2 linked regions of the Caenorhabditis elegans genome follow. The protein of the gene in region 2 purifies or fractionates together with the protein of the main gene of each other region. This does not show direct contact. Each region holds a gene or a part of one and is shown on either strand. Other genes may lie near its edges.

Region 1 (9,791 bases), on a different chromosome or scaffold from region 2:
AATAGGGAGGAAGAGGAGGTGGGGGGCTAGAGCCTCTTCTTTTCCATCTCTTTCTCCGTATCATCATCTGTTCCCCGCTTTTTCTCTGCGGTTTTCAAATATGTTATGAAACTTTATGGTTTTACAAATTTCAATTTAATTCTTAATTTGTTAGATTTTAGTATCAAAAATATTTTAGGTCTAGATCTAGGCACAAAAAACCCATTTCCCGAATTTCTGAATATTTTTATTAGGGATGAAAAGCACGAAATTCTCTTTAACAACATATATTTTCATTTTCAAGAATGTAAACCAAAAGGAGCACACAAAAAGAGCATTGCCTTCTTGTCTTTCTCTCTAAATACCTGCGTCTCTTCAATTAGCACACTCTTCAATGCTACCACTACGAAGCTTCCATTTTGTTTACTCAAACCTCAACCGGGTCAGGTCATCTTACCTTTGCTTCGGCTTCTTCCACTTTTCTTTATACGGACCTTTTTTCTGTAAAATCTAGGAAAATTATTCTTGACAGAAAAATAGTTTTTTAAAAATTGTGACTCACTAGTCAGCTTTTATGATTTTGTGAATTGATTTTGTTTTCGTTTCAAATTCAATCAGTGATTATGGTATTTCGAAAAGTTTGATAAATTTTGTTACAAAACTTTTACAAAAACTTTACCATAAGGAAAGTTAATAGTAAAACATTTCTAGAAATTGCCACCATTTTTTTTTGGAATTTTAATAAATTCGACATCTCGAATGTTAAAAATGTTTCAGATGTAGTGGATATTTTGGTTTGAAACATTCAAATTTTTGGAATGTTTTGAAATTTTCAGAAATTAAAAAAAAAGAAAACTCTCCATCTTTTCTCTAATCAAAAATAAAAAAGGTTCTATGAATTTTTTTTGGTAATTTATGGGCAGTTGTCGGTTCTCTCTGTTTCACCCGTCACACTTCTTCCAATTTTCATATGCAGATTTTAGACGGGGGGCTTTTGCAATTTCTTTTTACGCAATTCCATTCCTTCTTTCCTTTTTCTCAGCTTTTTACTCAGTTTGTGTTCCATCTTTTTTTTGGAATTTTTCGGTCGCAGTTCAAATCAAAATCTAAACTCAATTTGGAATAGTCCTCATATTTTGAATTTTCATTCAAATTTTTTCGGAAAAATTCTCAAAAATTCTTTTGGTGACTTTGTCTGTCATATCCACTTGAATACCGCAATGGATACTGACATTTCAAGGTTGTATGAATGTCCTCTATATGTGTTGGATATAGATTCATATGTATGCATGTTTTGGTTTTTCATTGTTTCTTATTTCTGTATGCGTCACCTTTTTTTCATCTTTTGTATAATGTTGGAGATTATGCAAGCGATATATTATATAACAATTGTATACTGTGACGGAATTATAATGGATTTGAAAGCTAGCTTGACTATCAAGACTGTGAAGGTTGCGTAGAATTATTTTTTCAACGTTTCAAGAAATTTATGATAGAAACTACTGGCAATCTCTAATTTCCTGTCATTTCCAGCAATTTTCAAATCTACCTATATTTTGAAAATTTAACAAATTTCACCTTGTTTTCTATTATCCAGATAGTACTTTTTTGAAGAAAATCTTTCAAACCGGTGAGGTTTAAAATAGAAATTTTGAAATAAAATATCGAAATTTTCCATTCTGAATCGTGGTAACTTTCTGTACTCTCAAATAGTTTTAAGACGTTTTTCTCCAACAAATACTTGTTCTTCGAACGATATTCGAGCTTAAGACACAACGCTCCATATATATCTAGACTCCCCACTCCCATAAATTGAGAACCGCAGTACTGCTTTATAGTCTCGGAATTTCTGTTTTGTCTGGCGAATCGGAGGTTTTGTCTGGATGAGTTAATTGAAACATTCATCGTGCTCTTCTTCTCCGCTTCTTCTCTTCTTTTGCTCTTCCCGTCCGTCACTTGTATACTAAAAAGAGCAGAAAACGCAAGAGAGGCACACGTTTTGCTTCCATTCTTCGCACCCAATTGAATGCCTTCGCGTTGTGCTCTGAATCTTTTTTGCAAAAGAGGAGAAAGAGTGTTCACATATCTGATGAATTGAGAGTGAGCAGCGGGCTCCATTTTCACTTTTTTGCCGTTTCTAGCACCATATCTCTCCAGGGGATCGCGTATCAAAAATTCTCAGAGCGGTCTTTTGATGAAAAGCATCTAATTTGAAGTGGCCGGAAACTTATTCATTGGTTAGCTGGGAAAGTTTTCCTTTTTTTCGGAATTGTTCAGAATTAGAAAAAAAAATCTGAAACTCAATAGCGAAATTTCTGATTAGTTCATACATCATTTCACCTAGGATTAAGCATACTTTCTACAAACCGAAAACCACGAATTTATTTACAACTAGCCTCTTCTTCTGTATTTGTAATTTTTATTTCAAATTTATCAGTAAAAATTTTGGAAGTATTCCAAATTTTTAATAAACTAATTCTTTTTTCCAGATTTGCAGCACTGCAATTTTCAATTACAGATAATTTAAACATGAGTAAAATGAAAATTTATAGACAAAATCTTTTTTCTGTTGAGTTCCAAAAACTTTTTGACTATAGAAATTGCAAAATTATTTTTTAGAATTTTTTACTGTGGTGTTTGTTCATTGTGCATTAAAATAATTCTACACAGTTTCCAGTAATGCAAGTGCAGTTTCCAAAAAAATTCATGAAAAATTTACTGATCTGAACAATCAATTGATAATATACTAAAAATGTACATGTGTTGGCATTTTGTCTCATAGTCTATTCCTCTCTTTCAATATAATTCTCTATCATGCCCATCAATTTAATGTGTTCCCCTCGCCGTGTCGTCTGTGATCGTTACATTTTTTCCATATCATATCAAGGTCTTTCATCCTTCTAGTTCCCAATTTCACGATTGACCAACAGTTACGGGGTCAACAAGGCGGACTTTCTTTACCAAAAAGTTCTAAAAGTGCATCTTATGAATTTTTGAGAAGATGGCTCTGCACTTTCTGACAGATGCACACCACCTGCGTCTCCAATTTCATTTCGACCTTCTTGATTTCAATTCTATCAATTCAGTTGATATGAGTCACACCGTGTGATTCATCATTATATAAACCCCCGCAAAAACAATTAATATAAGTTTTTTCCCGTTGATCTGAAAATGAAAACACCTCTGGTGTGTAATATTTTTCAGATTCTTCTTTTCGGCTTTTGCTCCATTTGCTTTCATGTTTTACGATTTTTTGGAAAATTTTTCTCTAAAAAAATCTGGATTTTGAACTTTCCCTCTTTCAGCTGTCTTCTTGATTTTGTCCATTTCAAAATTCAACTTTCTAATTCCCAAATTTTCAGTCATTATTCCTCGAACGTACATGAGCAACAACTAACAGAACGAGAGAAAGCTCACCCGCCGAAACATGCGTGAATGTATAATTAGCTGGACACTACTCCTATGTCTCAGCTGTGTCAAATCGTTTAATCTCGATGTGAATGCTCCGATCTACAGGTATGGTCCCAGTGGGACCAACTTTGGATATTCCGTTGCTGAACATTTCAAAGGGGATAAGCCTGTGTAAGTAGATTTTTTTTTTAATTTCATCACAAAAAACAGTAAAGCTTGAGCAAAAGTTACTCAGCTTATGTTAAGGCTTAAATTTAGGTTTAGCCTTATGATTAGGCCTAGTCTCAGGCTTCCTGCTAAAGTTTTGCCCAAGCGTGATAGTTTTAGTTTTTGATGAAAACAGCGATTAACGCGTTCTTTCAAATTTCAGAATGCTGATCGGAGCTCCACGTGGCGAGTCTGGGCAAACGGGTACCGAACGAGCGGGTGCAATGTACGCGTGTGATATTAACACATTTTATAATGGTGGATCAAATCACTGGTGAGTACACATTTGAAAGAATGAGAGATATGAGGGAACGACTGATGATTGATGAGAATGAATTCAGGTGTGAACAGGTGCGATTTGAGTATGAAAACGTTGAGGATTATGCGAAACGACCCAACGAAACACGTGGCAGAACGGTGCATCCATTGGGAAAGAATGATCAGTTGTTGGCCTCAACGATTGTTTCGAAAGGAACAAAGAATGGTAGTGCTTTGGTGAGTAAAAAACTTTAATTTTCTGTGTTTAAAACCTTGGGATTTTGGCCTCTGGTGCTCCTTGCGTACTCACAGTACTCTTTATGCTTTCTGAATCAAGTATTTATAGGTGTGTGCTCCATTAATACGTTACCATCAAACTGCTGCATATCCACAAGGAGCTTGCTATGAACTTGAATCGAACCTTCGTCTTCAATCAACATACGCAACTTGTGCTCAAAAGAATCTTCCAACAACAGATCGTCACAACGAGTATGGAGGATGTATGGAAGGATTTTCAGCAGCAATTACTCAGGTAATTTTCATTCAACAAATAGAATGAAATCACTGAAGTTTAGTTTTGTGTTAATTTTAAAAAGATATTTTGATGAATATTTTTGAGTCGAAAGCATTTTTTAAATATTGCTAAAATTTTAGGATACCATCGTGACCGGACTCATTGGAGCTGTAAAATGGACTGGTGGTGTTTTTGCAAAGAAATCGTCAGCAAACATTTTCGATTCAGTCGTTGAAAAATACACAATGAATCAACCAAATGGAGATATGATTCGTACACGATTAGTTGCACATGATTATCTTGGATATTCTGTAGATATTGGAAGATTCGGTTTTTGGTATGAAGATGGAAAACCGATAACCGTAGTCTCAGGAGCTACAAGATACGGAGAACATGGAGCTGTAATATTCCTCCCGTTTATTCAAGATTCAAGTTCAAAACTTACTCTGAATGAAGACAAATTTATTATTAATGGAACTGCAATGGGATCTGCATTTGGGTATTCGATTGAAGTTGTTGACTTGAATGGAGATGGATTTGATGATCTAATTGTTGGAGCACCATTTGAACATCGATCTGGAATTGATGGAAACTTTGGAGGAATCGTCTATGTTTACTTTTCTCAAGGAGTTCAGAGAAAACAACATGAATCTCATCTAGTCTTCCACCCACCAAAGATTCTAAAGAATCCAGATTTCTACTCACAATTTGGACTTTCAATTACTAAATTGGGAAATGTAGACGGAGATAAAAGTAAACTCAACGACTTTGCAGTTGGTGCTCCATTTGCATTTGATGGAGCTGGAGCAGTTTATATTTATCTTGGAACTAAAAACATTGAAAAGTTCCGAAAGAAACCGGCTCAAGTGATAAAAGGAAATGATCTTCCAAATCTTCCGCCAGGTGGAATGAGATCATTTGGATTCTCACTTTCTGGAGGTTCTGATATGGATGAGAATGGATATCCCGATCTTCTCATTGGATCTCCTTCGAAGAATTTTGTTGCATTGCTTCGTTCTAGACCAGTAATAAGTATTGAGACCAAGCACAAAATGGAGAAGAGAATGGTTGATATCGACAAAGGTGTCAATTGTCCACGTGGAGCAAAGACTTGTTTCCCGCTTGATATGGTGATCTATGTGGATGAGGAAACAAAGAGAGGCGCCGAACTTGTCGATTTCTCATCTGATGTATTTATGTGTAATCTGGAAGCTATTCCATTTAGAGCTGACACAACGGCAAGAGGATTCATTGAAGGAAGTCATTCACACAATTATAGTTGGCCATGTGGAAGTAATAGTCACGTACAGAAACGAACTTACCGGCAGCTAATCTATTTGCCAGTTCAAGAATCAAAAGATTGGATTACACCTTTGAAGTTTAGATTTACTGTCAGCATTCGGTAGGTCAAGTTGTCTCGAAATCCCTTGAAAAAGTTGTTTCCTAAATTGTATTGTTAGACTCAAAACTCAAAAACCATGATATCATAATCAGAACTCAAATTCTCACATTTCAGAAACGAAAAGAAGCCTGTGCAACCACCACAAGGAAGCCAATTGGTCGACTTGAAGCACTACCCAGTCCTCAACAAATATGGTGCATCATATGAGTTTGATGTTCCATTCAATACGCTTTGCGGAGAAGATCACACTTGTCAGACTGATTTGTCATTGAAAGCCGCCTTCAAGGATATTCCACTGTAAGACTTTAAGATATTTTAGCGCTCAGAACTTGTGAGACAGCACTGTATTTACACCGAAAGTTTTTTAGAATATAGTAATCAAACTTCTTTTTTAAAATTCCAAATCAAAAGTCAACCCCACGTATGTTTTTTGCTTTCAGAACATCAAATGGATACGTTTCAAATGTCGGCGAAAAGGATTATCTGGACTTGACATTCACTGTGGAAAACAAGAAAGAAAAGGCTTATCAAGCGAATTTTTATCTAGAATATAATGAAGAAGAGCTTGAACTTCCACAAGTTCAAGGTTCCAAGAGAATGATTGCTGAAACAATTGGAAAGAATATTGTGCATTTGCCACTTGGAAATCCAATGAATGGAGCATCAAAACATCAATTTACGATCCAATTCAAATTGACTCGTGGAAGAACTGAAGGAATTGGAAAGGCACTCAAATTCATGGCACATGTCAATTCCACGTCACAAGAAACCGAGGAAGAGTTGAAAGATAATAAATGGGAAGCTGAAGTTCAGATTATCAAGAAGGCAGAGCTGGAGATCTATGGAATCAGTGACCCTGATAGAGTATTCTTTGGAGGAAAAGCAAGAGCAGAGTCTGAATTGGAATTGGAAGAAGATATTGGAACAATGGTTAGACATAACTATACAATTATTAATCATGGTCCATGGACTGTTCGAAATGTGGAAGCACACATTTCTTGGCCTTATCAACTCCGTTCTAGGTTTGGAAGAGGAAAGAATGCTCTCTATCTATTGGATGTACCGACTATTACAACAGAATTCACAGATGGAACAAGTGAAGTTAGAAAGTGTTTCATCAAACAACAGTACGAATATGTGAATCCTGCAGAAATTAAATTGAACACTAAATATAGTACTCAAGAGACTGCTCCACATCGGGTAGAGCATAGAATGAAAAGAGAAATTGATGAGGATGAGGAAGAACAATCAGATGATCTAGGAGCCGTGGAAGAGAATATTCCTTGGTTCTCAACAGCTAATTTCTGGAATCTTTTTGCAATTAAAGGAGGTGATGGACGACCTAGAGAAGTTAAACATTTGGTAAGTCCCTAGATTACAGTTTATTTGATTGATTTTTGATAAATGAATATTTCAGAGCTGCCAAGACAACACTGCCAATTGTTTCACCGTCATTTGCCACTTCGATTTCATCGATGCCAATTCTGCAGTAGTCATTGATTTACGTGCAAGACTCTGGAATGCAACGTTCATTGAGGATTATTCAGATGTTGAAAGTGTGAAGATCCGATCGTTCGGAAAACTTCAATTAGACGAATCACAAGGAATTGATGACGATCCGAATAACAATGCAGCTTTCGTTGAAACATCTGCTGATCCTGATAGGCCTACAATTGGTGGGTTTTTTGAAATGAGACCAACTTTAATATCTAATCATTTTAAAGTGATATACTAGTACGAATGTATTCATAAAAAATCATTGTTGAGGATATTCTAGCTTTAAAAGACATGCTCAAACCCCCAACTTTACCTTAATTTTTTCAGGAGACTCTCGACCTATCCCGTGGTGGATATACGTCATTGCAGCTGTTATTGGTGTTCTCATTTTGTCACTAATTATAATTTGTCTTTCAAAATGTGGTTTCTTCAAACGAAATCGTTTGGATCAGCCATCATTATACACTGCTCAACTCAAACATGAACGAGAAGAATGGGCTGATACGGGACTTTAGATGCCTCTTTATTTCTTTTTTCGACTGGATCTCTGTGATGTTTTATTCACTTTGTTTGTTTCCATTTATGTGATACCATTTTCCTGTTTTGTTCCCTCAATGATTTTCCTCCCAACTTCACTTTAAACATTTAAGTTTTTTTTAAATATTTAAATGTATGACATTTTTCAAATCTTGTAGTCAAGTTTATTGAAACCATCTTGACAAATATTTCACCGGTGCCATTTTCATGTTTTTTGTCAAACAAAAAGTGCTATAATTATTAATAAATTATTTTCAATTCCCTCATTCAAATTATAGAAATTGTGTATATAAATGAAATTTTTTAAAAAATCAGTTATCGTCATTTGTGGACTGTCGTTTGAGAAGCATCCAGGAGCTTCGTTTTCGTGGAGCTGCAGCTGTGAATAAAAAGAAATTAATCGACAACTCGAGGATATGACGAAACTCACCAACAAGCATTTTTGCTTGGTTTTTGTGTGTGATTTGAATGATGCAAGGAGGTTGCATCCATGGTTCCCCGTCAATTTGCATGGGAAATGATTTGTGTGTTCTGGAAATGAACAAAATTTTTGTTAAAGTAACGGCATTACAGAAAACCATTTGAAAGTATCAGAATTACTCAAAAATTGATTTTTTTTTTCAAATTCAACGATGTCCTAGTTATATTCCCACATTAATTCCATTTAAAAACTAACTGAATCACAACAGTTGAACATTGAGAAAGCCGTCTTGCTCCACGTACACCCGCTTTAATCTGTCCCATTTGCATTGCTGACTCCAATCCAACTAACTGAAACTTTTGGTTTGTTTTTGGAAGGATTTCATCTTAAACCTCAATGAGACCATCTCCAATATCTTGAACTCTTGTCTGTAATTGCATTTTCTCGGCATTTTTCATTGGGAACAGCCCAGGCATTCTTCCTTTAGATTTTCGACTCCTTCCCCATAAATTAGATCCTCCGTAAATTGATGGAATATTCAAAAGAGCAATTCCTTCAAGTGATGCATCTTGTCCAAGATCGATTGATTCTCCATCGCACTGAAAATTGGAAGTATTTTACTATAATATTTTTAAGAACTTACCAAAATATCAATTTGCTCGTGTAAGTTCTTGCAAGAACTTGATAGGGTCTCACTTGTACCTAACTCAAAGTACCACAACTTGTTTCGCATCCGGCTATTGAACTTTTCAGGAAACTTTTCTCTCATCACATGGAATCGGTGAGCAATTGAGGCGTCCTGAAATTTTTTTTGTATTTTTTTATGTTCAAATTTAGGTTTTTGGTAAGATTATTTAGTTTTTCAATAAAATATTTAAAATAACTCACCACTCCAATAGAAAAATAATTATTAATGATACTGTATGGTGGTGTATCTCCTTTTTCACTTGCTCTTCTTGCACTTTTATTCTCTGTTATTTCTATTTTAATCTGCCATCGATCCATATCAATTAGACTTGATTTTTCAATTTGTTCCAATATTTTATGCAAATTCTCATTTTCATATCCACCACCCCATCGAAGACATCTTGCCAAATCATTTCCAGTTCCCAATGGTAAAACTGCGACGGGTGGTCTTCCATGTGGAAATGTCATTTTATCCATTGATTCCAATACCCATCCAATTGTTCCATCACCTCCACATACCAAAATGTTACAGTTTTTCAAAGTGGAAAATAATTGAAGTCCTGGTTCAGGGCCAGTTTTACTCAAATCATAGACCTGTCTTGGATTGAGAAGATATTCAAATTTCTGTAGAATCTTGACTCCTTGTTTCCCACCACTTTTCGGATTGACAAGAACTAGGAGAGGACGACAATCATTGCTAGGAGATACGGCCTGAAGGAGACTGGCACTGTGGGAGCTGAAGTTGTGATTTTTCAGCGATGTTGAAGTTTTACGTTCCAGAAATGCAGGAAATATATGCGTTGGTGGGAGAATATGGTGGACTAAAGCACCGAGATCACACTCTTGAGCAAGTGCAGACATACATCTATGATGAACCT
Region 2 (6,004 bases):
TGCAATTGATGCCATTTATGAGCCCGTCGACAAACCGGCACCGAAATTTCGGCACCGCCGACACCAGTATTCCCCATTGAAAATTAATTATAACTTTACATGAAAGATTTATTATTCCATATACTTCTACAGAAACCTAGCGGCATTCTTTATGATTGATAAATGAGTAGAAGACTTGCTCGAGGCCAAGTTTATCTGTTGTAGCCGTGGAAACTTCCGTTTCGTGAAGGTTGAACACCTGAAAATTGAAGATTTCACGAGTTTTAAAACAGAAAGCAACCGCAACCGCAACGCAACCGCAACGCAACCGCAACGCAACCGCAACGCAACCGCAACGCAACCGCAACGCAACCGCAACGCAACCGCAACGCAACCGCAACGCAACCGCAACGCAACCGCAACGCAACCGCAACGCAACCGCAACGCAACCGCAACGCAATCGCAACGCAATCGCAACGCAACCGCAACGCAACCGCAACGCAACCGCAACGCAACCGCAACGCAACCGCAACGCAACCGCAACGCAACCGCAACGCAATCGCAACGCAACCGCAACGCAACCGCAACGCAACCGCAACGCAACCGCAACGCAACCGCAACGCAACCGCAACGCAACCGCAACGCAACCGCAACTCAACCGCAACGCAACCGCAACGCAACCGCAACGCAACCGCAACGCAACCGCAACGCAATCGCAACGCAACCGCAACGCAATCGCAACGCAACCGCAACGCAATCGCAACGCAACTAAATGCAAACTTACGTGTTGAGGAAGATGTCCCTCAGTGATAAACTGGTTGGGAAGAAAAACTTTGACGGAGTTACCACAAACTACTCCAAAAATACTGAACGATGGCTCACAATAGTTGACAAAGTACGCGTACAGAATTGGTGACACAATCTGAAATATTTTAGTGTTTCAGAATGAAAATATAGAAAAAAATTACCGTTTCAGAGATTGATCCTTCCAAGGAAAAGTATCCGTTTTTATCAGTCTCTCCATAAGCAACCAAGGTATCCGGCAACGCTGAAAGTTATAGATTTAAGTAGCAGAGGCGCGTCCATGTTCCGTACTCCTACTTTGTAACTATAACAAATGAAAGAACTAGTAGAAATTTTGCGGTTACATATCTAAAGTTTGAAGTTTTTAGAAACCGTGCGTGCCTGTACTCCCACATTGTTATTTTCGTACCATAATTTTTTCCCAAAGTTGCACTTTCTGGCCTGCATATGGTTTTCCATGGCACAAAAGTTGTCCACGAACGTGGGCGGCTCCCGTGTCAGCGGTGGCGAGCTTGATGAGAAGAATCATGAAGCAAATTATCTGAAAACCTTGAAATTTTGAGGAAAAGATCTGAAAAATCCCATATCGCGTTCATACTGCTTTTTCGAGGATTCGAAAAAATTTTGGATAAAATTCGAAATGATTCTTTTTTCAATTTTGAATTTGAATTTGGTTTGTTTTCTTTTAAAAAAAACTCCACGTGAGCCCCTATTTTTTTCAAAAATTTTCAAATCAATACTAAATATTTGAATTCAAATTTCAGTACAGAAACTAGGGTTCAAAATAACGCCGGCAGCGACGGCGCATTTCAAAAAACGTGAGCCGGCATCGGCAAATAAGGCTTGTGCCGCCGCTGCGCCGCCGCCGGCGACATCAGGGTTAAACAGTTGAGCAGGCGGCGGCGCATCTCGAAATAAAATGCGCCGCCGGACGCGCAATAAAAATCCGCTACCGCTGGCAGCGGTGTGTAAAGCTTGCGCCGCTGCCGACGCCGGCGGCGTGTAAAACTTGCGCCGTCGCCGGCGAGCAGCGTTAATAACGTGAATGCAATATAAGATCCGTCGTCAAATTACAAGCTATAATAGAAACGCGTCAGTCCGCCTGTTTTTTGTGAACTAGCGCAATCCGAGCATCCATCATTGTCCACATTCTGATTTTCAGCATTTTCGCTTCCAGGCTCTCGACATGAAGTTGACATCAAAGAAATTGGCCACGAGTTATATGAAAACACAGTGGGGGTGGCACGGACTTTGTAGTTGGCTCAGTTTATAAGTCCGTCCACAAACTGGCACTATTGAAAATTAAATATCATAATACTTCACATACATAACAGATTCATTATTTCAGACTTTTCTAGTTCCATACAATTACCCAGAAGGACGACATTCTTTGTGATTGAAAAACAAGTTAACGACTTGTTCAAGGCCGAGTTTGACAGTGTAAGCCGTTGAAACTTCAGTTTCGTGGAGGTCGAAGGTCTGAAATTCCAGATTAAGATGTTTTGTTTTTTTCGCGTGTGACGCGCGTCATTTTTGTTTCAGCATTTTTTGACTCGCGCGTTTAGGAATATGTCCATCAGCAATATACTCGGCTGGGATATAAACTTTGACGGAGTTACCACACTTTACTCGGAGCCAGTTGAACGATGGCTTACAATAGTTCACAAAATACGCGTACAGAAGTGGTGACATCATCTAGAATATCTCGTTGGTTCAGATTCAAAAAATAGAAACATTACAGTTTCAGTGATAGATCCTTGCAAGTCAAAGTATCCGTCATTATCAGTGACTGCATGAATAAGCATAGTGTCGGCCAACGCTGAAATTCAAAAATTAAAGTAACTCCCAAAGCGTCCATGTTTTGTACTCCCATTTTGTAACTCTTCAAAAAAAAATGCGCCTGTGTCGCGATTAGCATTTCGAAGTATAACTTGTAAAACCGTGACGCAGCAGCTGTGCGTCTATGCTGCGTTTTCCCATTTTGTATCAGACATGAGAATGAATAAAGAGCGTCGAATTTCAAGAACCGCTAAACACCCGCGGCGCGTCTATCTACCGTACTCCCACATTGTAACTACACTCAGAAAACAAAATCGGGTTAAACGAGTTTAGGTTTTGTTGCAAATTGGTTGGAAATCGTGACGCAACTGTAGCGCGTCTCCTCTTTGTACTCCCACTCTGTAACTCTCTCACCAAAGTTTTTCTCCCAAATTTGAATTTTCTCGCGAGCATACGGTCTTCCATTGCACAAAAGTCGTCCACGGATATGTACGGATCCCGTGGAAGCCGCAGCGTAATTGATGAGAAGAACCACGAGAAAAATTGTCTGAAAACCCTGAAGTTCGGAGAAAAATTTCTGAAAAGTCACATACCGCGTTCATTTTCTTTGCAAAGATTCGAAATTTTTGTGGACAAAATTCGAAAGGATTTTTTTTTTGAAATTTGAGTTTTGAATTTCAATTTCAATGCAAAAAAAATTAAAATCCACGTGAGCCAATTATTTCATAAGTTTTCAAATCAAATCATCTTTGCTTTTCTATTTTTCATATGCCATGCTCCTGTCAGATTATAATAGCACCAAAAAAGGCATACTCCGGCGGATACGTATTATGAAATGTAAATGTTCACTACCTCATCCAATTTCTTTGTCAATCACCTGCAGGGTATATTTTTCTCATATTCTCCTTTTCACTCGCAATGTCACATTCTCTTTGAAGGGAGATACATCTAGCCGCCAACACAGCGCCACCCATTCCACAAAGAGGCCCATGTTTACAACCTAATGACACATATAGTACTGGTATAGATTGTCCTTCCTTGTGGGAACCCTTTTTGAATAGATTTACAACTCCCTACAAAAAGACACAAATCAGGCAGGAGGCCTGCGGTGAGCGAGAATTACGAAAATGATAACATATCAAATCCAGAATCTACCAGCTTTTTTTAGCCGCGTTCGGGGTTCCGCGCCGCACTATGTATTTGGTACATGCGACGTGTGTGACGCCGTGAGGCCGGCGCGGCGGCCGCATGGGAACCCTAATCTCAACTATAATTTTTTTCTCGATCTCGGTGAAATTGAAGTGCAACAGCGAAACCCGAGGAAGCCGGTTTCAAAAAGCTTCTCTATAGTTACTTCACTGTCAGTAAGCCATAGATGTTTACTGCAAATTTAGTCTTAAATGTTAACTTATCCCATAAATAATATGAAAATATTTATTATACATTTTCTTTAACACAACATTTATTAGTAACAACAAAATCTTGTCCGGTTCCTATGGAATTGCAACTCTACTCATTTTTGCGGGATGATTCTCGATGAGTCCCAAACTTTCGGCAATATTTTCCAAAATGTTCGAATTCTGTCGCTGCTGGTCTGCAAGACTTTTTGATGGCTTTACACGTACTCGGCGGAGCTTCTAAAAAAGTGAATGTACATTCGGGATTACATGTAGTGCCTTAAATAAAATTACCTTCTCAGTCTTCCCCGGCTTCAGCTTTCTTCTCAGCTTCTTCGGAGATCTTCGGATTTCTCTGAGATTTACCACCTTTTTCTCTGATTCTCGAGCAATTTCCTTTTCAGCCCGGAAGCCTCGTTCCCCTTCATCCATACTCATAGCGAACTTCTCGTTTGTGGTCTGGAAATTTTATTTTAAGTTTTGAAAGAATGGGAAGTCATTACTATGGGATCTTACCGAAAAAACTCTGAATGCCGGATGTCTATACGGAACCCTTTTCACTTTCACCACTCTCCGTCTCTTCGTGGATCCAGATCCACGTGTCTTCTTGACTATTTCAGTGTTGCCGTTTAAAGGAGCAGACTTCTTTTTGCTCTCCCCACTACCACGTGAATGACTTTTAGCTCCGTGAGCCTGTGCTTTAGGCACCGACTGCGACGGTAATTGAGCTCTTGGAGGAGCAAACAAAGCTGGACGAGAATGCCCTGTCCCAGAATCTAAAGGCTCGGGATCCGAAACTGATGTGTCAGAGTTCTCAGATGTGACAGCCTGAGCGATCGCAAATGTGGCTGGAAATTGAGCTTTCGGAGGAACCATAGGTTCATCGATAGTCTCTGAATCCTCAGATTCCGCTGCAAACGTAGATTCGTCAGATTTTTCGGCGGCGGGGCTTTCAAAATTGGAAGCAGGAAGCAACTCTTCCGTTTCTGAAATCGAAACATCACTCGGCGCTACTGCAAACTTTTGAATAGTGCTGTCCTCTTGAGCAAATGTCACCGCTCCTTTTTGATACTTATTCCGAAGTTCATTGAGTGTCGGAAGCCCTGAAGCCAGACCAGAAGCTTTTTGCTGTGTTCGACGAATTTCAGAAGCTTTCAGATCAATCTGGTGTCCCATAGCTTGTGATTGGGCCTCCACTGCCAGGTAAGCCAAGTTCTCCGCGCTTACAATGGATTCTTTCATCAGAGATTCGCAAGTGCATTCTTTCGAATCGACGCCCTTCTGTCCTTGAACTCCAAATTCTCCACGTTTTCCACGAATTCCTGCAGCTCCTGGAGCTCCAGGACTTCCAGGTAACCCAGGTGGGCCAATAGGCCCTGGTGTGTTATTGTTGGTTCCATCCTCTCCAGGTTGTCCTTCTGTTCCATGCTTTCCAGATGGTCCCTTGGGACCTTTAGTATTCAAAAGTACAACACCATCTTGCCCAACATTTCCAGCAACACCACGCGATCCCATGGATCCTTGTTTTCCAGGACTTCCGTAGCCTCCAGGAGCTCCCGGCTGTCCGTTTTTTCCCATTGGACCAAGAATACCAGGAGCCCCACCAAGACCTGGCTTTCCAGTTCCTCCAGGCTGGCCGGGCGTTCCATCTGGCCCTGCTGGGCATGTAACACAGAATGTGGGAAAGTTCGGGGTGATCTCGTCCATTGCGTCGAACCCTGGCAATCCATCGTTCCCGTCAGTTCCTGATTGTCCAGGGGTACCACGAAGACCAGGTGGGCCTGGAGGGCCCATCGGGCAGCGATTCTCGTCGAGTGGGCAGATTGGAAGAGGTCCGAGACGCTCACCCGAGTTCATAAGTGTTGGGTGCTGCTGCGGGGTTGGGCTAGGAGAAGCTGTAGTAGTTGTAGTCGATGTAGGTATAGTTCCAAGAATCACTTGGGCACCGCCTGAAGTATCCGACATAGCTTCTGCATCCTCATACTCTGATTCTTCATCATCATAATCATCAGTAGGCGCGGGAACCTCTCGGGCAAGCTTCCGAA

Evidence for each region. Proteins that work in one complex are often made in the same cells at the same time.
Region 1: the proteins of ttr-11 (region 2) and ina-1 purify together in Caenorhabditis elegans (affinity purification with western blotting; one study listed by BioGRID). This does not show direct contact.

Annotation. Positions count from the first base shown.
Region 1 is NC_003281.10:9,166,353-9,176,143, reverse strand, and holds ina-1 (Integrin alpha ina-1), read left to right. Parts: upstream 1-3,341; 5' UTR 3,342-3,406; coding exon 3,407-3,561; intron 3,562-3,760; coding exon 3,761-3,871; intron 3,872-3,938; coding exon 3,939-4,092; intron 4,093-4,201; coding exon 4,202-4,387; intron 4,388-4,509; coding exon 4,510-5,771; intron 5,772-5,885; coding exon 5,886-6,068; intron 6,069-6,211; coding exon 6,212-7,133; intron 7,134-7,188; coding exon 7,189-7,447; intron 7,448-7,595; coding exon 7,596-7,783; 3' UTR 7,784-8,071; downstream 8,072-9,791. Other genes in the region: dgk-3 (putative diacylglycerol kinase 3), read right to left, coding at 8,117-8,184, 8,236-8,336, 8,482-8,576, 8,619-8,825, 8,870-9,025, 9,115-9,789. UniProt on the Caenorhabditis elegans protein: Plays a role in cell migration, axon fasciculation, and morphogenesis. During gonad morphogenesis, involved in distal tip cell (DTC)-mediated guidance of gonad elongation, in maintaining their sharp tapering morphology and in their migration.
Region 2 is NC_003283.11:20,600,526-20,606,529, reverse strand, and holds ttr-11 (Transthyretin-like family protein), read right to left. Parts: upstream 3,217-6,004; 5' UTR 3,165-3,216; coding exon 3,156-3,164; intron 3,110-3,155; coding exon 2,977-3,109; intron 2,603-2,976; coding exon 2,523-2,602; intron 2,479-2,522; coding exon of another isoform or gene 2,403-2,478; intron 2,263-2,402; coding exon 2,152-2,262; 3' UTR 2,102-2,151; downstream 1-2,101. Other genes in the region: F46B3.23 (Neuropeptide-Like Protein), read left to right, coding at 1-103; ttr-57 (TransThyretin-Related family domain), read right to left, coding at 832-901, 948-1,027, 1,193-1,312; col-163 (Col_cuticle_N domain-containing protein), read right to left, coding at 4,056-4,199, 4,254-4,418, 4,476-6,004.